Linked DNA regions of Kluyveromyces lactis. The protein of the gene in region 4 purifies or fractionates together with the protein of the main gene of each other region. This does not show direct contact. Links are inferred from orthologs where the notes say so. Each region holds a gene or a part of one and is shown on either strand. Other genes may lie near its edges. The genes, in order: GPH1, CPR6, SGT2, HSP104, ALD4, STI1 and PDB1.

Region 1 (3,957 bases), about 730 kb from region 4:
TGGTATTTACAACAGAAAGAAAACGACATCAACACCGAAGCAGAATATTGGCAAGAAAGGAAATTGGCATTCAAAGTCATCAAAAGATTGGTAAAGGACAGGGTCTTGATGCAAATACATGGTCAAAACGACGATCTATCTGCCGATGTCGAATCCTCAAATGCCAAGACAGTGTATGTGATACATCCGAACTGTAGTGTTCTAGATGAAATCACCCCTAACCCACCTCAATGAAAACTTACTAACTAGACTAATTCAACTAAATTGACCATTTGCACTATCTTTGAAATTTGTAACCATAAATAGATATTTCACTTAATTCACATTTACATCTCTACTTTCACATTCACTTTCACATCTGTGCCTTGCTTGAATTCTCAAGAGAACGCCGATCACGTTGCAAACTACGCTAATTGTATAAGAGAAACCAGTTCACCTTTTGACGAGGAATGTCACTCTTCGTCACGTTGTAACCATAAGCAATTATCCCGTCGCCCCTTAAGCTTTGTAATTAACGTACAAAACTACATTTTCTGAAAGCGTGGGGAAACAATAGAGAACATATTGCATTAAGAGGCCGGAATAAAAGGTTTAGTACGGAGATTAACATGTGCATAGAGGATTTTCGTTCTAACTTTTAAACGATGGAACATAGATCAAGTAACATAGTAATTGGACCTCATAACTTGACAACAGGGATAAACTATATTACTTGATATCACTTGTCGCACATGGATTCAACAATCGGTCTCTGATAGATTAAGGGTTGCGTCTTTGTCTGTATTCGAAAACGAATTAAATGTAGTTATAGGTAAATAGTTAGTTATATCTAGAGAAATACTCGTACATCCATAGTCAGGCCATCCACCAAAATAGTTTCTTTTCAGTTTTTTTTGTTTTTCCGCTTTGCATTTAAATGCCAATTGAACCATTGAAAAGGGATGTCTTAAAGGAAATGAAAGAAAGGGGAGCCTTAACCACCTTGAATGAAGAATTGTGAAAGTTTCAGATACAATTGTTACAATTGTTCAAGGCCAACCTATCAAATATAATAGCAGTTAATTGATTGACTATTTTAACTTGAAAGGAAGCTATATATATTTTTAAGGGCCTTGCAAGCGGTTTTTTAGACTAAGAATAAGAAAAGATAAGCCAAGATGGGTTCCGGTACTGCTAGAAGACCTAGCTTGAGCACTTCCACATCCAATGACATGATGGTTGACGAGCCTCATGGTGTGCCTCGTCTTTCCCGTCGTTTGACTGGGTTTTTGCCTCAGGAAATTAAGAGTATTAATACTATGATTCCTTTGCAGAGTAGAGAAATTTGGAAAAAACATGGGGTTAAGAAGTTTGAAACCCCAGACGAATTTCAGTCCAAATTCATTCAACACGTTGAAACGACATTGGCTCGTTCTTTGTACAATTGTGATGATTTAGCTGCATATCAAGCCACTTCTCAAAGTGTCCGTGACAACTTGGTCATTGACTGGAACAAAAGTCAGCAGAGACAAACAGCGCGTGGCTCGAAGAGGGTTTACTACTTGTCGTTGGAATTTTTAATGGGTAGAGCCTTGGATAACGCTTTGATTAACTCACAAGATGGTTCTGAGGAAAGTGGTGTTGAGAAAAGAGAAAAAATTAAGGGCGCCATTGATGAGTTGGGTTTCAAGCTAGAAGATTTGTTGGAGCAAGAACCGGATGCTGCTCTTGGTAATGGTGGTCTAGGTCGTCTTGCTGCATGCTTCATTGACTCAATGGCAACAGGAGACTACCCGGCATGGGGTTATGGTTTGCGTTACCAGTACGGTATCTTTGCTCAAAAGATTATCGATGGTTACCAAGTGGAAACCCCAGATTATTGGTTAAACTTTGCCAATCCATGGGAAATTGAGAGAAGTGAAATTCAAGTGCCAATTAACTTCTACGGTTACGTTGATAGGTCAGATAACAATGGGGATGGCTCTACATTGTGTGCAAGTAAATGGATTGGAGGTGAAAGAGTCATTGCTGTTCCATATGACATGCCAATTCCTGGGTTCAAGACCGAAAATGTTAACAACTTGAGAATGTGGACTGCTAGACCAACCACTGAATTCGATTTTGCCAAGTTTAACAGTGGTGATTACAAGAATTCTGTTGAACAACAGCAACGTGCTGAATCCATCACTGCTGTTTTGTACCCTAACGATAACTTCCAAGAGGGTAAGGAATTGAGATTGAAACAGCAATATTTCTGGTGTGCCGCATCTTTGCATGACATTGTTAGAAGATTTAAGAAGGCTAAACACTCCTGGGAAGATTTTCCAAATCAAGTTGCAATCCAATTGAACGACACTCATCCTACATTGGCAATTGTTGAATTGCAAAGAATCCTTGTCGATTTGGAACATTTGGATTGGCACAAAGCATGGGACATTGTTACCAAAACCTTTGCATACACTAACCATACAGTCATGCAAGAAGCGTTGGAAAAATGGCCTATCGGTCTATTCGGACATTTGTTACCAAGACACTTGGAAATCATCTACGATATCAATTGGTTCTTTTTGAAACACGTCGAAAGCAAGTTCCCAAGGGACGTTGATCTTTTGAGTAGAGTTTCCATTATCGAGGAAGCCTCTCAGGAAAGACAAATCAGAATGGCTTTCTTAGCCATTGTTGGTTCTCATAAGGTTAATGGTGTTGCTGAATTACACTCAGAATTGATTAAGACTACTATCTTCCAAGATTTCGTCAAGATTTATGGGCCAGGTAAATTCACCAACGTTACCAACGGTATCACACCAAGAAGATGGTTGAAACAAGCTAATCCAAAACTTGGTGAATTGATCAGTAAGGCTATTGGTGATCCTCAAGATGACTATTTGTTGAACATGTCAAAGCTAACAGAGTTGGCAAAATTTGCTGAAGACGAAGACTTCCAAAGTCAGTGGAACGACGTCAAGCAATTCAACAAGCAAAGACTTGCAGATTTGATCGAAAAATTATACGATGGAGAAGATGTCATCCAGAGAGATAATATCAGAAACACCTTGTTTGATATTCAAGTGAAACGTATTCATGAATACAAACGTCAACAAATGAACATTTTCGGATGTATCTACAGATATTTGAGTATTAAAAAGTTGTTATCGCAAGGCGTCCCAATTTCAGAAGTTGAGAAGAAGTACCCAAGAAAGGTATCCATCTTTGGTGGTAAGAGTGCTCCAGGTTACTACATGGCCAAGTTGATCATAAAGTTAATCAACAGTGTCAGTGATGTTGTTAACCATGACAAAGAGATCAATAACATCTTTAAAGTTGTATTCATCCCTGATTACAACGTTTCTAAAGCAGAAATTATTATTCCAGCCAGTGACTTAAGTGAACATATTTCGACTGCAGGTACTGAAGCCTCTGGTACATCCAATATGAAATTCGTTATGAACGGTGGTTTAATCATCGGTACTGTTGACGGTGCCAATGTCGAAATCACAAGAGAAATCGGAGAAGATAACATCTTCTTGTTTGGTAACTTGGCAGAAAACGTGGAAGAGTTAAGATATCAACACCAATACCACGGTGAACCATTACCACAAGAATTGGAGGAAGTGTTCCAAGTCATCGAACAAGGCACCTTTGATGGTGACTTCAAGCCATTAGTTGAATCTATCAGACATCATGGTGACTACTATTTGGTGAGCGACGATTTTAAATCATACTTGCAAACCCAATCTTTGGTTGACGAAGTGTACCACAAGAACAAGAAAGAATGGTTGAAGAAATCCATTTTGAGTGTTGCCAACGTCGGATTCTTCTCCAGTGACCGTTGTATTCAAGAATACGCCGACGAAATATGGAACGTCGAACCCTTGACCAACTGATTTTCCTCCTATTTTTTAGAACCTCCTCAAATCCCCGCCAGAGGTTTACCCTTATAATACACTACTAAACAATACTTGACTTTATCACTATATA
Region 2 (2,985 bases), about 1.2 Mb from region 4:
GGCTGTTACGTAGAGAATCTAGCTTTACAACTTTGCCATGCAGAGACTAATGATTGGAGACAGTGTCTTGGTGAAATGAAACTGTTCAAAGATTGTTGGCAATCCAAGGGTAATGACCAGAGAGTGGGGACAGTCGATGCAAAAGAACATTGAGATTTGCATTTACAGGTGTAAAAAGATCCTTCACTGTGAAGCTTTGTCGAAATACTCCACATATTGTATATAGACCCATTTAATTGTATATGCGAATACCCATCTGAATATTTTTAGTCTACGCAGCGCAACATTTAAATTGACATATTTTAGTTAAGGATAATGAATAATCGTTTCAATACAACATTTACACCAGAACATAACGAAATTTAACCAGTTCCCGGACCATAGGTGAAGTTTCCAAGTAGAATTACAGCAATAGTGCTTTATTGATGATTAAAAGACCATCAAATAGTAAGAAGAAGGCTAATCTTCGAAGATTGACAGGTGCATTAAGGGATTTGCTAGGCGAAGAGGAGCCAAAGAAAGAAGAGAATCTAAAACAAATTACTCGAGATGGTGTGGTTTACATCATGTCTAAAGAGAATCGATTAATTCCTAAATTGTCAGACGAAGAGGTTATGGAGCGTCATAAGAAAGCAGACGAGAATATGAAACGCGTATGGTCCCAGATCATACAAAAATATGAAAGTATAGATAATCAAGGTGATGTAATAGATTTACAAACTGGAGAAGTCATAGAAGATAATGGCCATTTACGAAACTTGAGCAACGAAAAATCAGTTCTACATAGTTCGCTACCAGATGGTGGTTCAGTGTCTTATAAAAGTGTTCTGAATGACATTATGGATATTAAAGACTCATCATATAATTCATCGGTTTGGCAAGATCACGAAACTAACGATTCAGAAACAGGGTCCGAGTCTGAATCTGGTCTCGAAGCCGATGGTTTAGATGAGGGATCTGGCTCTGAAGCAGATAACAGTAATGAAGTTTATATGAAGAAGTTAAGACCTAATCCTGAAAGTAATTAGTTCAGGCGCTTCAGATATTCATTTATCACTGTGTTTACGGTTCGTTCATGTATTGATATATTTTTAAAGGTTTTCTAGCAAATTCGAAGCTTTCCATCTTTTATCGATCTAGCCTTGAAAAAACCACAACAAAAGTACAATGAGAACGGCTGAAAAAGAAGTATAAATTGAGTAAAGTCCATTAGTAACCTCTCTTGACAAACCCAGCTTGTATCATTGATCTTAAAGGTAGGTTACGGCAAAGCGGTTGTTATTTTGAAGAAGCAAACTAACCCTGCATTATTTCTACCTACGTGGAGAAAAAAGTACACATACGAGTTAGCTCATTGAATTTGAATATGAGTGAAACAAGACCTAAGACATTTTTCGATATTTCGATTGGGGGCAAACCTGCTGGTCGGATTGTTTTCGAGTTGTATTCTGATGTTGTTCCAAAGACGGCGGAGAATTTCTTAAAACTCTGTGAAGGTAACTCGGGATTTGCCAAATCCAAACCGGATATACCATTGAGCTACAAGGGCTCGATCTTCCACAGAGTTATCAAGTCTTTCATGTGTCAATTTGGAGATTTCACTAACTTCAACGGCACTGGTGGTGAATCGATTTACGGAGAGAAATTTGAAGATGAGAATTTTACTTTGAAGCATGATAAGCCATTCTTGTTGTCTATGGCAAACGCTGGTGCGAATACCAATGGATCTCAATGTTTCATAACATGCGTTCCAACTCCACACTTAGATGGTAAGCATGTTGTTTTCGGTGAAGTGATCCAGGGCAAAAGGTTAGTCAGAACTATAGAAAATAATGCTACAGATGAAGCTGATAAGCCGGCCAAAGAGGTTAAAATTGAGGATTGTGGTGTGTTACCATCCGATTATACTGTTCCTGCAGATGCAGAAGCGACTCCGACTGATGCGTATGGTGACAATTATGAAGAAAATATAACAGACGATTCGAAGGTTGATCCCAACGACGTCAATAGTGTCTTGAACGCTGTAGAAGCAGTAAAAGAGATCGGTACTAAACAATTCAAGGAGAAAAATTTTGAAGTAGCCCTTGTGAAATATGAAAAAAGTAGTCAAATGCTTAAGCAGTACTTCCCTCAAGATTTACCAGAGGAGGATGTTAAAAAAATTGACGCATTAAGGGTATCCTTATTCTTGAACATCGCTTTGGTGTCTCTCAAGAGTAAAAATTACAGTAGAACACTTAGCGCCGCCACTGAAGCCCTTCATGCTGACAACACAGACGATAAATCCAAGGCCAAGGCATTGTATCGCCGTGGTTTAGCTTATTACTACACAAAAAACGCAGAAATGGCCGTGACAGACCTCGAATTGGCTACTACATACCAACCACATGATACTGCAATTATAAAGGCTTTACAAGACGCCAAGAAAGCCAAAAAGGAGTTGATTGCTAAACAGAAGAAGTCATTATCCAAAATGTTTTCCTAATTTCGATTCCTCTTATAAAACAAAATAAAATGGATACGTGTCTTAGTACTGACTATATATTTCCTCACATCTTATTCAAAATCCTTATCACCTATCAAAGTAAAATCAGATGGAAATATTCAAGTAATTAACCATCAGTTAAATAGTATGCTTCTTGCGATGACGGACATAAGTACGTTCCGCTATTCTCGAATGCATAGCAGATCCCTATCATTTCATACGTATTGCGTACTAAACGACATCCAAAAATTTTCAACTTTGTTCAAGTGGCAAAGAATAAAGAAAACAATGGCCAAAAACAATGCTTGACATGCAACAGCTCATTCAAGGAGAAAAGTCACCGCTCATACACCGGCATTTTGGACCTCCCCACTCCAAACACCAAACTCTGTACCCCTCTAGGATCTTTTGGCTACCACATTAGCTACTTCTTTGTCGTTTCAGTGCGTTACGTTACGTTAAATAAACAGCATATTTGAAGATTGTTAGTGTTTTCTATC
Region 3 (2,797 bases), on a different chromosome or scaffold from region 4:
ACTTGGAATATCTAGAGCACTCTGTTGTCACTTTACTTAATAACTTTGAGTCTCTTCTCGCAAAGACAACTTTATGGTGGAAACATTTTGGTGAATTAATGGAACTGAAGAAAGAGTGGAAGAAAAATTTCCCAAATGACAAGGCGCCTCCTTCTTCAGCAAACAGAAATTTTATAGATACCTACATTGAAGGTAAAAGGTCTAAATTTAGGAATAAGTTATCCAATCAACTGAAAATGAGCTCTTTGAACCTTAAGAAAATTGGCGGTGAAATCAAAACAACACATGAATCGATCGCAGTGGGGATAAATCTATTCATCGAATTCAAAGAGCAGTTTTACCACGATCATATCGTTAAATCCATAGTTGATCAAAGAATCAGGGAAAATAAACAAATCATGCAACAATTGATTGATACCATGAAAGGGCATGTTTAACTAGTCATATATAGATCAAATATATACAGTCAAAAAGGACAAGCAAAAGTTTGGGTATACTGGTTATTGCTGGCTGCCGTTGCCGCCACCAAACATGTTTTTGGCCATGTCTCTAATAGATGGGTCATTCATCATTTGACTCAAATCTGGCATGCCGCCACCAGATGAGAATTGGTTGGCCATTTGCTTCATTGCTGGATTGGACATCATATCCTGCATTAGACCTGGATTTTGCATCATCTTTTCAGCGGCTTGCATAACTTGAGGGTTGTTTAGCAGTGCTCCTAAACCACCGCCTAGACCGCCACCACCTAACAAGCTTGAAAGATCTGGTAAGCCACCAGCGCCTGCACCAGGACCTTCAGTCGCAGATTTGTCAGAAACATCTTCAGAAGAAGCGCTGGTAGAGCTCTTCTCTAAGTTCATTGAGGTTTCTACCTTCTTCTTGGCAGTTTCGTAATCTCTTTTCATAACGTCAGTAGCTTTTTCCCCTTCGATATCTAGGACCTTCTTGTAAGCATCTAAAGCTTCTTCAGGCTTATTCAAAGCATACTTCGCAAATCCAAGTCTAGAAAAACCCTTAGAATATGTAGGATCAACTTCAATAGCTTGCTCGGCGTCCTTAACGGCCTGTTCGTACTGCTTCAAAGAAGAATAAGCTGCAGCCCTGTTCGAGTAGTAAACAGCGTTAGATGGAGAAACTTCGATAGCAGCAGTGTATTTTTCAATAGCCTCATCAAATTTCTTAGCAGCCATGGCCTTGTTACCCTGTAGCTTTAATTCTTCAGCCTTGGCCTTAGCTGCTGCATCTTCAACTGGAATATGAACCTTCACTGGTTCACCAGAAACGCCTCCAGAAGAGGGAGCTGAGGCTAATAGTTCAGGTAATTTCTTGCCATTAAAAGGACCAGAGATTAAAGAATCAGTCTCATCTCTTTCAAATTGGAAGGCCTCAGTGATACAGTCGATGGCAACATTCAACGAATCAACATAGTCTTCGTTTACTGAAGAAGACGATGATGACAAAAAGTCAACAATCAAAGCAGCAATTTCCTTATTAGATAGGGACATTCGGATTTTCTAAACTTTTGACAGTGCTTTAAGATGAAATAAGGATCACAAACCGCTGTATACGATAAGATGAAGCAGTAACAAAGGACGAGTCAATGATAACTCTTCTTTGAAAGTACATAAAATCCAGGCAACTTGTCATTTAAGCACTATTATAATAAACTTTTTCCTGAATGTGAATGGCGAAAAAATGATAAGTACGGAAAAACCTTCGGTTAGAGAAGGCAACAGAAGACGAAAGATTCACAGAGACACGTCAATTTCACATCGTTAGCATTTTTAAGCTGACTCGTGCCGTCTTAATTGAGAAGTAGTGATATTTGATAGAAGCTACTAATAGTTTGGAACCATCAACCATGGAAAGGAAGTTCAAAGAGTTGCTGGCTCCTTGAAAGAAGGAAAAAGTTAATCAAAAACAAAATCTTCCCCGCCAGGACTCGAACCTGGAATCTTCTGGTTTCAGAAGTAGCTAACATCGTAGCCAGACGCCGTGACCATTGGGCCACGAGGAATAAGATTTCGTGACGGTTACTACTTTTCGTTCTATATAACAGCTACAACAGATCATATGATACTTTTAAAGTAATATTCAGACTTTACCTATTTAGTGAGTATGCCGTTACACAAATACGGTGCATCCAGCATGGAGAGTTTTACTATATTGAATTTCATTACGAAGAATTGTTTTTCTCATTTACGAGTCTTATACTGGTGCTTTTTGTCTTTGTTTATTTTTGATCGAAACTGACATTCGATATATGAATACTAATTAAAGTGTAAGTAGAATCCTAAATGATTAAACAGAGGAGTGAAATATATATCCCGGTTTTGCTCTTGCAAGGTACGCCCCGTATCATTACTGCTATTATAAATTTTAACATCTATAAATCTTGCAAAGTGCTGTTTCTCATTTCGAATAATTTATAATTGTTCCATATCCAAAATGTCACAAAACATGAGAAGCCCAAGGAACAATTGGCAAGCACCCATAAATCAGGGTATTTTGATGGCGGGGAGACGTAATAGTCTAGAAAATGAATAATCCCCATTGCAATATATGAGCCAACAATGATTAATCTCCATATTAGGCTCTTGGGTAGTAAACTTGCCCGTCTATAATCAACATCTATATCACTGATGGATGGCCCTGGTGTCAAAAATTTTGGGAGGAAGCGTGGTGTGACGAAACTGAAGTTACCGATCAACCAATTGCTAAACATGAACATGACTCCATATTGCAATACTAGATTGTCCTTTTTCAGTAATGGCCAGAGTGTAAACAATGCCAC
Region 4 (4,188 bases):
GACAAACCAAAGGAAAAAGATCCAAAGGACGACACATCAAAGGACGAAAAGTCTGAGGAAGAGAAGCCAAAAGAAGATAAAAAAACCAAGAAAGAGAAGAAAAAGGCTAAGAAGGAAGAAGAGAAAAAGCAAAAGGAAGATAAGAAGAACAAAAAACATAGTGACAAGAAGAACAAAAAACATGATGATGATGATGAATACTCCGAAGCTGAACCTTCAGTGACTGAAGAAAAACGTGTTGAGACGAGTTTCACCAAGAAACCACATCACACTACCTCTGCTGCATTGAAGGAAGGTTACAAAGAGGTAAAGAACGAAACGGACACTGAATGGAAAACAGATGACGGTCACTACAATGGCACTGAGACTGATCATTCTACTGCCCTAAATGATGCTTATAATTGGAAGAGAACTTCGTCCATAGGCTCCATTATTGCTTTCATGATGTCCTTGTTAATTTGATTCAAAAACGAAAGATCATCACGCACATGAGCTGGAATATCTAGTTATACATATGTAGATCTTACAAGGAAAATAATAATATGTTGCTATCCAAAACTTGACACAATGCCAATGATATTGTCTTAATTAACGTGAATTACAAAACTGACGCCTGACATCGAAACAGAAGTGCGTTCCAAAAACCTAGCGTTAAATTTCAAAATCTATCACGTGATGGTGATCCACTTGTTCCAGTTTTTTTCTTCGGTTTTCTTTGTGGACATGCACTTTCGAGAGTCTTCCAGAAAAATCCGGTAATGTTCTAGCTATCACGGTTCCGGACTCTAGCTTAGAGCAGAGTGAATTTTAAGTAGCTTTACAATCCCCACACAGCTTCTACATTGCCGTAAGCAACATGCTGGGATAGCTGGTTGTTTGATCTAGTATTCAACTAACAATAAGGACGTACTTACAATTTTCTATTTTACGTAGCCATGAACGTCAGTCCCAACGGTAATTTAAAAGCTTAACCTTGAGTGAGTGAATTATTCGAGAATGTACTGGTTTATACTGGAAAAGTAATGTAGTTGTTAGAGCTTTGTTTGTCTGTGAATTGGGCAATACTAAAGCTGGGACTGGTACCGGGAGATAGGGGTTGAGGTATATTTTGCTTTGCTATTAGTTTTCTTAATAAGGTGATTTTAGGGTATCTTTTGATAGATGCTTATAGAAAGAATAGGTGAAAAAAAAAGTTTATAGAATATAAGCGTAGTGAAGAGGTATATAAAGGGAGACCATCCGAAGAATCATTTGTTGAGTGCTTCCTGCTTTGGAATTCAATTACATCAATTGTATCAATAGTGGTCTATCTGATAGAAATAAACAACAATTGTCAGGATCATCAAACGCATCAACAGTTTATTGTCTAGAAAGAAGATATTACTACAATGAACGACGAAACACAATTTACAAATAAGGCCAACGAAATTATCCGTTTGGCCCAGAAATTGGCTCAGGATCACAGACATGCTCAGTTACAACCAATTCACTTACTTGCTGCATTTGTTGAGCCAAACGAGGATGGTTCTGTTGGATTCTTACAAAACTTGGTGGAATTAGCGAAATATGATTATGAACCTTTGAAAAGGGCCATCAACAGAAACCTAGTCAGGACTCCATCTCAGACGCCCGCACCATTAGAAATTCAGCCAAGTTATGCTTTCGGGCAGGTCTTGAAAGATACTTCAGAAATTAGGAAACAGCAAAAAGATTCATTCGTCGGTCAAGATCATATATTGACTGCTTTGTTCAAAGATGCAACAACTCAAAGCATTTTTAAGGAGTGTTCCATTGACATAGAATCTGTGAAGCAGCAGATGCTCGAATTGAGAGGCAATCAACGAATTGATTCAAGAGACGCTGATACAAATGAAAAATGGGAATATTTGAAGAAGTATGCGATCGATATGACTGAACAGGCTAGAGCAGGTAAGTTGGATCCTGTTATCGGTAGAGAAGAAGAAATTAGAACTGCCATCACTGTTCTTGCTAGAAGAATCAAGTCAAATCCATGTTTGATCGGTGAGCCAGGTATTGGTAAGACTGCCATTGTAGAAGGTGTTGCTCAAAGAATTATCGACGATGATGTTCCACAAATTCTACAGGGTTGCAAATTATTTTCTTTGGATCTTGCTGCATTGACGGCTGGTGCCAAATATAAAGGTGATTTCGAGGAAAGATTAAAAGGTGTCTTGAAAGAAATCGAGGAATCAAAGACTTTAATTATATTATTCATCGATGAGATTCATATGTTGATGGGCCAAGGTGTAGATGATTCTGCCAATGCTGCTAATATTTTGAAACCAGCCTTATCTCGTGGTGGCTTGAAGGTAATTGGTGCCACTACCACTAACGAATATAGATCTTTGGTCGAGAAGGATGGTGCTTTCGAAAGAAGATTCCAGAAGATTGATGTCCCTGAACCAACGACAAGGCAAACGGTAGCTATTTTGAGAGGTTTACAGCCAAAGTATGAAATACATCATGGTGTTAGAATTCTAGATAGTGCCCTAGTGTCTGCAGCTCAACTAGCTAAGAGGTACTTGCCATACAGAAGATTACCTGATTCTGCTATTGACTTGGTTGATATTTCATGTGCCGGTGTCGCTGTTGCTCGTGATTCTAAGCCCGAAGAATTAGACAATAAAGAGCGCGAATTGCATTTACTACAGGTTGAAATCAAGGCATTAGAAAGAGATGAAGAAACGGATCCAACGACAAAAGAAAGGCTACAACAAGCCAGACAAAAGGAAGCTTCATTAATTGAGGAATTGGAACCAATGAGACAGCGTTACCAACAGGAAGTGGATTCTCATGAACAACTAAGACAAGCCAAAAAGAAGCTCGATGAATTGGAAAACAAATGCATGGATGCCGAACGTCGTTACGATAATGCTACCGCAGCTGATTTGAAATACTTTGCTATTCCGGATATCAAGAAACGTATTGAGGAATTGGAACAAAAAGTTGCTGAAGAAGAATCCAGGGAAGGTTCTGAAACAATGGTGAAGAACGTGGTTAACAGCGAGGTTATTGCCGAGACTGCCGCTAGAATGACCGGTATTCCAGTGAATAAACTAACTGAATCTGAAAACACAAAGTTGATCCATATGGAACGTGAGTTATCGCAACAAGTTGTGGGTCAAATGGAGGCTGTGAAAGCCGTTTCTAACGCTGTCAGACTTTCTAGATCTGGTTTGTCTAACCCTAATCAACCGGCATCTTTCTTATTCCTAGGTTTATCTGGTTCCGGTAAGACTGAATTAGCTAAGAAAGTCGCATCCTTCTTGTTTAATGATGAAAAAGCTATGGTCAGAATCGATTGTTCAGAATTGATGGAGAAACATTCAGTTTCGAAATTATTAGGTACTACTGCCGGTTACATTGGTTACCAAGAAGGTGGTTTCTTAACTAATCAATTACAGAGAAGACCATACAGTGTGTTGTTATTTGATGAAGTCGAAAAGGCCCACCCTGATGTCTTGACCGTTCTTTTGCAAATGTTAGATGACGGCAGAATCACTAGTGGTCAAGGTAAGACAATTGACTGTTCGAACTGTATTGTAATTATGACTTCTAATTTGGGTGCCCAATTTATCAATGCTCAGACTGGATCAAAGGTTACTGAGGGTTCCAAAGAGTTGGTGATGAGTGCCGTTAAAGCACATTTCAGACCAGAATTCTTGAATAGAATCTCAAGTATCGTGGTATTCAACAAGCTTTCTCACAAGGCCATTCACAAAATTGTTGATATCAGAATCAAAGACTTGGAGAAGCAATTTGCGGATAATGATAAGAATTACAAGATCAACGTTTCACCACCAGCTCGGGATTTCTTGACCAAGAATGGTTACTCGGAGGATATGGGTGCTAGGCCATTGAACAGATTAATTCAAACCGAGATTTTGAACCCAATGGCAATCCATATCTTGAAGGGTGAGATCAAAGACAAAGAAATTGTCAATGTAGAAGTGGGTGCCGATGGATCTCATTTAGAAGTTTTACCAAATCACCCAGCTTCATCAGAAATTGGTGATGAAGACATGGATTTGGACTTGGACGACGATGACGACTTAGACCTAGACTGATCTAAAATGAATTACAAAAAGAAAACATACAAACAAACTCACTCAGTAATAAAATTTCAGTTCAACAGTACCATCATATATAGTGTAAAGTACATATTTT
Region 5 (3,250 bases), about 1.6 Mb from region 4:
GCTTAGAGCTACCTAGATAATGTTGTGTCAGTAATGCAATATTCAAAACAGAGAGGTCCAGAGACCGGAAATAATGAACCGAATATACGCAAAAAAGAAGTTTCTCCGATCTCGATATTGCAATCTGCCGAAAAAAAAAAAAGGGCGTCAATGATTAGCTAACATAAGCCAGAAATACAGAAACACTGGCAGTGATTGAAGTTTTGATGTAATCTGTTGTATTGTGTTTCTTTTAGACCCCTCTTTCAACTACCAAGTATCGTGCCTAAGTTATTGTGTCGGGAGGGGAAACCGGAACGGAGGGGCATATTCATTAGCTAATATAGTAAACGAGTAGAAATATACTGGAGATTTGTTTTCTTAGCAAAAACTGGTGTTTGAAATTCACGGAGTATATTGAAGAACAGGCGCGGGCAGTGCAGCACATCTAATAGTGTTGCTATAAACCAAGACAACGAGATACTGCCCTTCGTTCGGAAGCACAACTCAAGTGACCAGTCACACAATTCTAGTTTATCCACCAGTTGTTCTCCCGAAAAGAAAAAAATGAAACGATATTCAGAGTGTTTCTGCTCTCTTGCGCTTATTTACCGGTATTTACATTAGGCCACAATCCAATTTGCAACATTTGGCTAGTGATGGGACAGAGGTTTTCCTTTTATGACCATACTGTAAAGGGTTTGTATCCACGTAGTATCAACATACGTTAAGCGGGGTCATTCGAGTTCTCAACATTTTCCCACTTTGCTTCTCCATTTTTATGAGCTACGGCTTTTCTGTTGTTTTAATCACCCTTAATTCAGACACTTCCTTCACTTTAGAATTGTATATATACATATATATATATATATATAAGCTATATGATTTCCAGTTTATTCACTCAGGACGCTATTTCAGGAGATTTGGACTTCAGCAAGAAAAATTAACTAATTACAGATAATCGACCTAGTTGATATTCCTCTAACGCTATATTTTGTACCGCGTTGACAATATACATTATTTAAGGTTCAGATATCATTGACAAGTTTCCCAAAAAAAAAAAAGGGCAACGAATACTGACACATTGAAAAAAAGAATCGGAATTTCAACTAGACGCTTTGAGTTCAAAATTTTAACCATAATACCATATTCGTCTATTAAGAAAACCAGTGCGATTCAAAAGGCAAAACTTTTCAAATAAAATGTTATTACGTACTACCACTGCTGGTACTAGACTAGCTTTCAAGTCACAAACTGCGGCATTCGCACATGCTTTACGTTACTATTCGCATTTACCATTGAAGGTCAAGGTTGATTTGCCAAATGGTATTTCATACGAACAACCAACTGGTTTGTTCATCAATAACCAATTTGTTCCTTCCAAGCAAGGGAAGACTTTTGAAGTGTTGAGTCCTTCAACCGAAGAAGAAATTACTCATGTTTACGAAGGTCGGGAGGAAGACGTGGATGCGGCTGTTGAGGCTGCAGACAAAGCTTTCAAGTCCGGTGTCTGGTCTAAGGTTGACCCACTAGTCAGATCTCAGTGTTTGAGCAAGTTAGCTGATTACATTGAAAAGGATTTGGATACCATTGCTTCTATCGAATCTCTGGACAATGGTAAAGCTATCTCATCTGCTAAAGGTGATGTTCAACTAGTTGTTAACTACCTAAGATCAGCTGCTGGCTACGCTGATAAGGTGGATGGTAGAGTCATTGATACTGGTTCGACTCATTTCTCTTACACAGTTAGAGAACCATTAGGTGTCTGTGGTCAAATTATCCCATGGAACTTCCCATTGTTGATGTGGGCTTGGAAGATTGCTCCAGCTCTTGCTACCGGTAATACTGTTGTCTTGAAGACCGCTGAATCCACACCTTTGTCTGCACTATACGTTTCTCAATACATTCCAAAAGCGGGTATCCCAGACGGTGTTGTGAACATCGTTTCTGGTTTCGGTAAAATTGTTGGTGAGGCTATTACAACTCATCCAAAGATTAAGAAGGTTGCATTCACTGGTTCCACTGCTACTGGTCGTCATATCTACCAAAATGCCGGTGTCAATTTGAAGAAGGTCACATTGGAGCTAGGTGGTAAGTCACCAAACGTTGTTTTCGCTGATGCAAACTTGAAATCCGCTGTTCAAAACTCTTTGTTGGGTATCTACTATAACTCCGGTGAAGTCTGCTGTGCTGGTTCCAGGTTGTATGTTGAAGAATCTATTTATGACGATTTCTTGAAGGAAATTAAGTCTGCTTCAGAAGCTCTAAAGGTTGGTGATCCTTTCGATGCAGAAACTTTCCAGGGTGCTCAAACTTCGCAAAATCAATTGGACAAGATCTTGAAATATGTGGAGATTGGTAAGAATGAAGGTGCTACTTTAATTACTGGTGGTGAAAGAATTGGTGACAAGGGTTACTTTGTTAGACCAACTATTTTCGCTGATGTTGAAGAAAGCATGAGAATCGTTAAGGAAGAAATCTTCGGCCCTGTTGTCACTGTCACCAAGTTTAAAACCATTGATGAATTGATTGAAAAGGCCAACGACTCTGAATATGGATTGGCTGCAGGAATTCACACATCTAACATCAATACTGCCATCCAGGTTTCAAACAGATTGAATGCTGGTACCGTCTGGATTAACACATACAACGACTTCCACCACTGTGTTCCGTTCGGTGGTTTCAATGCTTCTGGTATTGGTAGAGAAATGGGTTCTGAAGCTCTAGACAATTACACTCAAGTCAAGGCTGTCCGTGTTAAATTGGAGTAAATTGGCTGATATGTAGTTACAGGCACAAGGTCTGCACATGAGATCATGATATTTGTATCATAAAATATAACTTACGGAAATACCTCCAAAAAGAAGATGCATATCACGCTCTTCAGCTCTTCTTATTACCGATTTTCGCGAGTAAGTTGATTTTCTGGAGAATTCTGACAATCTTTATATATCCTGATTATTTATACCGATTTGGTTAGCTGTGTTTCATACTGTGAGATGCAGACCATTATTTACTATTGGCGTATATTATGATTTAATGAAAATGCTAAATGAAAATATTCTTTGATTAATGTCGTCTTTGCTGCCTTAGTACAATTTGGTAGTGCGACTCATCTGATATCTACATTTAGGCTCTATCCAAACAAAAACCAATGCATTCTGCAATTTTTCTAAATCGGAAAATAAATTACGTATATTGTCTATTAATGAAATAATAAAGGGTTATCTGTCGGAATTATTATCAACCTAGAAGATTGTACGTGTTATGA
Region 6 (3,375 bases), on a different chromosome or scaffold from region 4:
TCATCATAAGTTACTTCTCCAATCTTATCGGCAACATTAAATGTTTTCATCAACTCCAGAACTTTGACGTACATATCCTTGGATTGTTGTTCACCCAAACGGTCCAGCACCAAAGAGGGCTTCAATTTATCCAAATCTTCCTTATCCCAATAAATCAACGTATCAAACTGATCTGGTAGTACCTGAAAGTATGGCCACCATTTCGACTTCTCGCCAAGGTATTTCCACTCGTATAAGATGGTTAAAATCAAACCATGCCAATGTTCAACCTTACTCAGCAAAATTCCTAAATAGCTTTCATCCAGTTTACCCAAAGAACCGGTGATAATATTCAATGAAGCTGTCTCAGGTACCGAAAACAGCTTCTCTCCCTCCTTCACGTCGTTAATGCAGATCATAGATCTACCTTGATGCTCATCTCTCGAATCGACAATTTTGACATTCTTAGACAATTTGATTCCAACTGTGGGTAACCACTCTAAAAACAAATCAGTTTTTCTTTCAAAATCAGTAGCAGTCATATTTCCAAATCCCGCTTAATAACGCCTAAGAAATGTTCAGATATAGGCCTTAAGGTCCTTCTTAAATCACTAATCTTTGTTCGCGATGAGCTAACCTCCAGATTAGGAACATATTAAATTTTCATCAATGTCAGAATAATAATGACAAAATATAGATAGGAAACAAACAAAAATGTGGTGAAAAGGATACTACCAGGGTTAATGTTCAGCGCTAAATTGAAATTCATACGGTAGTCAATAATTGAAACGAGAAGCAATGAGTAATGAGCACAGAATTTCTCGTTATATGGATATGTCAGGCCTCTGTTTTTGGGTTATACAACATGTGTGTTATCACGAGATCCGGGTAACATCATGTCAAGAACGTTCTCGAAAAAAAATACTGCTCTGCCCTAACAATCTTTGAACAATTGACATCCAACTAATATAAAAAGAGGGAGTTTTGATAAGATCGAATGGTGAATTTGGGCCAATAAGTTCAGATAACGCGTCGAATATCAACCTAGGAACAGTTGCTAATTGTCTAACTGAAACAGTGTTATTCGTTTCGTCTTATTGGTACTAGCGTCAAGAAACAAAGAAAAAAATCTAGGGATTTTACAAACGAGATGAGTGCTGATCAATTCAAACAAGAAGGTAACCAGGCATTTGCCTCCAAGGATTATGCCAAGGCAATTGAATTGTTTACTAAGGCTATTGAAGTTTCAGAACAGCCAAACCATGTTTTGTTCTCTAACCGTTCTGCATGTTACGCTTCTAATAAGGATTTTGTGAAGGCGTTGGACGATGCTAACGAATGTGTAAAGATCAATCCATCGTGGGCTAAAGGTTATAACAGACTAGGTGCTGCGCACTACGGTTTGGGTGACCTGGATGAGGCTGAACAAAGCTATAAGAAGGCTTTGGAGTTGGATAGTGCTAACAAAGCCGCACAAGATGGGTTATCGCAAGTGCAACAAACTCAACAACAAAGAACTGCGCAACCGGATTTGGGTTTAGGAAACATGTTCAAGGACCCAATGATGATTGAAAAGTTGAAGAAGAATCCGAAAACCGCCGAGTTTATGAAAGATCCTCAATTTGTCGCTAAGATTTTACAGTTCCAACAGAATCCACAAGCTATGGGTCAAGAAATGTTGTCCGATCCTAGATTGATGACTGTTCTTGCCGCTTTGATGGGTATCGATTTATCAATGGACCCAAACGAATCCAACTCCATTCCAAAGGAGGAACCAGCGGCCAAGGAAGCTGCCTCAGCGACTAAAAGTGAACCAAAGGCTGAACCAAAGGCTGAACCAAAAGCTGAACCAAAGGTTGAAACTAAAAAGCCTGAACCTGAACCAATGGAAGTTGACGATGATAAATCCAAGGCCGAAGCTGCAAAAGCTGAAGGTAACAAGCTTTACAAACAAAGAAAATTCGATGAAGCTATTGAAAAATACAATGAAGCTTGGGAAACTCATAATGACATCACGTATCTAAACAACCGTGCTGCAGCAGAATATGAAAAAGGTGATTACGAGGCAGCCATCGAAACTCTAACAAAGGCTGTGGAACAAGGTAGAGAACTCAGAGCTGATTACAAAGTCATTTCAAAATCTTTCGCTCGTATGGGTAACTCTTACCACAAGCTTGGCGATTTAAAGAAGGCTATCGACTACTATGAAAAATCTCTAACTGAACATCGTACCCCAGATATCTTAACGAAATTAAGAAACACAGAAAAGGAACTCAAGCAAAAGGAAGCAGAATCTTACATGGACCCTGAAAAGGCAGAAGAAGCTAGATTACAAGGTAAGGAATACTTCACTAAGGCTGACTGGCCAAAGGCTGTCGAAGCATACACTGAAATGATCAAAAGAAATCCAAACGATGCCAGAGGTTACTCTAACAGAGCTGCAGCTCTATCTAAGTTGATGTCATTCGCTGACGCCATTAGAGACTGTGACAAAGCCATCGAGAAGGATCCAAACTTTGTCAGAGCATACATTAGAAAGGCCACCGGTCAAATTGCTATCAAAGACTATGCTGGTGCCATCGAAACACTTGATAGTGCAAGAACCAAAGATGCAGAGGTCAACAGTGGTGCAAACACTAGAGAAATTGACCAATTATACATCAAGGCCTCCCAAGCTAGATTCGAACCTGCAAACGCCAATGAAACTCCAGAGGAAGCGTATGCTAGAGCTACCAAGGATCCAGAAGTTGCATCAATTTTACAAGACCCTGTCATGCAATCTATACTCTCACAAGCTCAGCAAAATCCTGCTGCTTTACAGGAACACATGAGAAACCCAGACGTCTTCAAGAAGATTCAAACCTTGATCGCCGCTGGTATAATCAAGACTCGCTAGTTCTACAGACAGTCAGTCATATTACTCGACCTGAAACTTCAACATGAATTAGTATATATACACGCCTATGTTTAGCATTTAATTCTCTTCCAGATATATATCTATACCATTATTCTATCAGCATTGTCTGATGGGCTTTATGTATTAATGCAAATTATGTTTCCATTATTAATTTCTCCATATCATTTTCTGATATTTATCTTCTACAAACAACATTGAAATCTACAGATGAGGAACTATATACACAGAAAAAGGGCAAAGAGTAACATAATGGGCGTTGAGGATCGTTTAAATCGTAAACAGCAGCGACTCGCTGCCCTTAAGGTATCTTACCAGGAATTAGAGAAGAAATTTCAGACGTTGGCTCACGAATTACATATGTATGTTTTACCTTATTCTATATTTCCAAGTTTCGGCGGCTAAATTGCAACGATACTAACCAAAAAAAAATATTAACAGAACTGAGACGCCAGAAAAGATTAACTTGAAACATATTGCTG
Region 7 (2,996 bases), about 780 kb from region 4:
CAGTCCGATAAGAATAGGCATATGGTTCCAAGCCATACCAAATATTATATACAATTCACAGATGAAAATACACTCAAGCGACCAGATTGGATACTACTCACCAGTCATAACCTTTCCCAAGCTGCATGGGGTCCCAGCCCACTAAAAAAACCTACCAATTACGAATGCGGTATTCTATACACGACAACCATGGGGAGAAACAAAGTACGGTTAACACTAGCAAGTGCCCAACAACCGCCAGGAAGAACAATTGGGTCAAGGGTACCCGAAGACATAACTGTTCTGCCCACAGTAAAAGTGGTGACGCCGTATCCATTGAAATTTCAGCGTTACTCAGCAACTGACGAACCTTATACCTCTGTCGTTCAATGATGATATACACAATAATACCATCTAACAACATTCTAAGGCGCTGACATCTGTCAGCGCTTTACGTTACCCGGATTATTTAGGTATCACACCGGAATAACAGAAAAATTGACAATGTCCGCATCATTCCCACGCATCACGTGCCCCCACCCTTTTCCGTCGTTTGAACACCTATACACCTCATCGCCTCCATCAATCTCATCTGCTATGTCGTATTCTCCCGTCGCCAAAACAGGTTTTTTCAGCAGATTTGTGATGGCGCACTTACTATGCGCTAGCATATCTATGAGATAAATACAACGGTATAGCAACCCGCGAATCGCTCGACCCGTACAGTCGAAACGAATAAAAAAAAGCTTATGCAGCGCATATATATTCCTTTAAAGGATTTTGATTTCACCAATATATAAAGAAATATAAGAGGGTCATTTCAGCACCAGGGAAGTTGTTAGTTCTTTAGAGTCGTTATTCCTTTATTCATTGTATTATCTTCTGTTTTGTGTTTCATTTTTTATACTTTATGGATCTGTAATTCAATACTTGTTTAATCTTACTTTATAATTTCTTAAAGGTTTTATAAATCTTACTACAGATTCTCATCCAATCCCACTCAATTAGCGGTTCCCTGAGGCTAACGTCTATTTGTTGAATAGGTCAAAGAACGAGTTTTTATTTTTTTTCAGTGAAAAAATAATATCAAATTCAAGAAATTATAAAAAAGAATTCAGTTGAAAAGGATCCTTTTTAGTTATAGAATTGACAATTGACTATCTAATTTGTCTGTCTTATAACAAACGCATCTCAACAACTTCTGTCTGTTTGTTTATTGCTTCGTTTTTGTTTTCGAATTATCAAAACATTATTTCTTCTACCTTTAAAAGAAAAAGAAAAACGAAAAGATATCAAACTCTAGTATAATATTCATTCTCCTTTGGTTCAGTAAACGTTTTACAAGCGAAGACAATTTTAAAGGTTAAGAAGAATTACACGTAGTGAAACGAAACGTTAGTACCCGATTGATAAAAACTTTCAACTGGCAAAATTATTAAATACTAATACAACATGATGATGCTTTCTAACACTTTTAAGAGGGCTGTTCCTTCTGTGGTTCAATCCATGAGATTTGCTTCTACCAAGACCATGACCGTCAGAGAAGCTTTGAATTCTGCCATGGCCGAAGAAATGGACCGTGATGATGATGTTTTCATCATTGGTGAAGAAGTTGCTCAATATAATGGTGCTTACAAGGTTACCAAGGGTTTATTGGACCGTTTCGGTGAAAGAAGAGTTGTTGACACTCCAATTACCGAAATGGGTTTCACTGGTTTGGCTGTTGGTGCCGCTTTGAAGGGTTTAAAGCCAATTGTTGAATTCATGTCTTTCAACTTCTCCATGCAAGCTATGGATCAAGTCATTAACTCCGCTGCTAAGACTTACTATATGTCCGGTGGTACTCAGAAATGTCAAATCGTTTTCAGAGGTCCAAACGGTTCTGCTGTCGGTGTTGCTGCTCAACATTCCCAAGATTATTCTGCTTGGTACGGTTCTGTTCCAGGTATGAAGGTTTTGGTTCCATACTCTGCTGAAGATGCTAGAGGTTTGTTGAAGGCTGCCATTCGTGATCCAAACCCAGTTGTTTTCTTGGAAAACGAATTGTTATACGGTCAATCTTTCGAAGTCTCTGAAGAATCTCTGTCTACTGATTTCACTTTGCCATACAAAGCAAAGGTTGAAAGAGAAGGTTCTGATATCTCTATCATCAGTTACACCAGAAATGTTCAATTCTCTTTGGAAGCTGCTGAAATTTTGTCTAAGCAATACGGTGTTTCTGCTGAAGTTATCAATTTGAGAGCCATTAGACCTTTGGATGTTGAAGCTATCATCAACACTGTCAAGAAGACCAACCACTTGATTACTGTTGAATCTACTTTCCCAGCTTTCGGTGTTGGTGCTGAAATTATCGCTCAAATTATGGAATCTGAAGCCTTCGATTATTTGGATGCTCCAATTCAAAGAGTTACTGGTGCTGAAGTCCCAACTCCTTATGCTAAGGAATTAGAAGATTTTGCTTTCCCAGACCCTGACACCATTGTCAGAGCTGCTAAAAGTGTTTTGTCTATTGAATGATTGCACCGTGCACTCTTTCTTTACTGACAGTTATGCACCTCTGTTGGCCTCCGTTTTTTATCAAAACAAAAGAGAATATTCATTGGATAAGGAATAGTGCATGATGGTTCATTCGCATTCGGTTTTTCTTATGATTGTACTCCTTTGTTGCAATAAACTAAGTTATGAATTGATTTACAAACTTCAAAGAAAAATAGAAAAATTAAAACATATTATATTATTAAGATATGAATACCAAGTTCAGTTAATACACGATTTTGGATTAGGAAATAGAATGAGATAGAGTTGCCTGTCGTTGAATTATTCGCTGGTAAAGGTAAGTTGATGAATTAGAGATTTTACAATTTTTTTTCATGTATGTTGCCCATCAGTAATGATGAAGAAAAGTTTTCATCACTAGAGATGGGAACAATAAGGTATTTGGGGACAACTGCGGTTGTTATGAGATTAAACTGTATATATATATTCTGCCGTTAAAACAAGACGCTGTGCGCTACTTT

Evidence for each region.
Region 1: the proteins of HSP104 (region 4) and GPH1 purify together in Saccharomyces cerevisiae (affinity purification with mass spectrometry, with the first as the bait; 3 studies listed by BioGRID). This does not show direct contact. The link is inferred for Kluyveromyces lactis from reciprocal best matches to the Saccharomyces cerevisiae genes HSP104 and GPH1.
Region 2: the proteins of HSP104 (region 4) and CPR6 purify together in Saccharomyces cerevisiae (affinity purification with mass spectrometry; 3 studies listed by BioGRID). This does not show direct contact. The link is inferred for Kluyveromyces lactis from reciprocal best matches to the Saccharomyces cerevisiae genes HSP104 and CPR6.
Region 3: the proteins of HSP104 (region 4) and SGT2 purify together in Saccharomyces cerevisiae (affinity purification with mass spectrometry; 5 studies listed by BioGRID, with this or other methods). This does not show direct contact. The link is inferred for Kluyveromyces lactis from reciprocal best matches to the Saccharomyces cerevisiae genes HSP104 and SGT2.
Region 5: the proteins of HSP104 (region 4) and ALD4 purify together in Saccharomyces cerevisiae (affinity purification with mass spectrometry, with the first as the bait; 3 studies listed by BioGRID). This does not show direct contact. The link is inferred for Kluyveromyces lactis from reciprocal best matches to the Saccharomyces cerevisiae genes HSP104 and ALD4.
Region 6: the proteins of HSP104 (region 4) and STI1 purify together in Saccharomyces cerevisiae (affinity purification with mass spectrometry; 5 studies listed by BioGRID, with this or other methods). This does not show direct contact. The link is inferred for Kluyveromyces lactis from reciprocal best matches to the Saccharomyces cerevisiae genes HSP104 and STI1.
Region 7: the proteins of HSP104 (region 4) and PDB1 purify together in Saccharomyces cerevisiae (affinity purification with mass spectrometry, with the first as the bait; 3 studies listed by BioGRID). This does not show direct contact. The link is inferred for Kluyveromyces lactis from reciprocal best matches to the Saccharomyces cerevisiae genes HSP104 and PDB1.

What each region holds. Positions count from the first base shown.
Region 1 is NC_006042.1:931,895-935,851, reverse strand, and holds GPH1 (glycogen phosphorylase), read left to right. Parts: upstream 1-1,157; coding exon 1,158-3,863; downstream 3,864-3,957. Other genes in the region: MCM DNA helicase complex subunit MCM6, read left to right, coding at 1-234. UniProt on the Saccharomyces cerevisiae protein: Phosphorylase is an important allosteric enzyme in carbohydrate metabolism. Enzymes from different sources differ in their regulatory mechanisms and in their natural substrates. However, all known phosphorylases share catalytic and structural properties.
Region 2 is NC_006042.1:502,135-505,119, reverse strand, and holds CPR6 (peptidylprolyl isomerase CPR6), read left to right. Parts: upstream 1-1,366; coding exon 1,367-2,485; downstream 2,486-2,985. Other genes in the region: COA4 (Coa4p), read left to right, coding at 1-153; SCM3 (Scm3p), read left to right, coding at 426-1,028. UniProt on the Saccharomyces cerevisiae protein: PPIases accelerate the folding of proteins. It catalyzes the cis-trans isomerization of proline imidic peptide bonds in oligopeptides.
Region 3 is NC_006040.1:104,347-107,143, forward strand, and holds SGT2 (Sgt2p), read right to left. Parts: upstream 1,509-2,797; coding exon 501-1,508; downstream 1-500. Other genes in the region: KLLA0_D01133g (uncharacterized protein), read left to right, coding at 1-437; ALG6 (dolichyl-P-Glc:Man(9)GlcNAc(2)-PP-dolichol alpha-1,3-glucosyltransferase), read right to left, coding at 2,390-2,797. UniProt on the Saccharomyces cerevisiae protein: Co-chaperone that binds to the molecular chaperone Hsp70 (SSA1 and SSA2). Regulates Hsp70 ATPase activity. Required for recovery from heat shock.
Region 4 is NC_006042.1:1,666,894-1,671,081, forward strand, and holds HSP104 (chaperone ATPase HSP104), read left to right. Parts: upstream 1-1,388; coding exon 1,389-4,088; downstream 4,089-4,188. UniProt on the Saccharomyces cerevisiae protein: Required, in concert with Hsp40 (YDJ1) and Hsp70 (SSA1) and small Hsps (HSP26), for the dissociation, resolubilization and refolding of aggregates of damaged proteins after heat or other environmental stresses.
Region 5 is NC_006042.1:29,838-33,087, forward strand, and holds ALD4 (aldehyde dehydrogenase (NADP(+)) ALD4), read left to right. Parts: upstream 1-1,181; coding exon 1,182-2,750; downstream 2,751-3,250.
Region 6 is NC_006037.1:636,046-639,420, reverse strand, and holds STI1 (Hsp90 cochaperone STI1), read left to right. Parts: upstream 1-1,129; coding exon 1,130-2,875; downstream 2,876-3,375. Other genes in the region: RKM4 (ribosomal lysine N-methyltransferase), read right to left, coding at 1-521; SAE3 (Sae3p), read left to right, coding at 3,146-3,255, 3,335-3,375. UniProt on the Saccharomyces cerevisiae protein: May play a role in mediating the heat shock response of some HSP70 genes. It is required for optimal growth of yeast cells at both low and high temperature.
Region 7 is NC_006042.1:882,278-885,273, reverse strand, and holds PDB1 (pyruvate dehydrogenase (acetyl-transferring) subunit E1 beta), read left to right. Parts: upstream 1-1,431; coding exon 1,432-2,496; downstream 2,497-2,996. Other genes in the region: TDP1 (tyrosyl-DNA phosphodiesterase 1), read left to right, coding at 1-372. UniProt on the Saccharomyces cerevisiae protein: The pyruvate dehydrogenase complex catalyzes the overall conversion of pyruvate to acetyl-CoA and CO(2).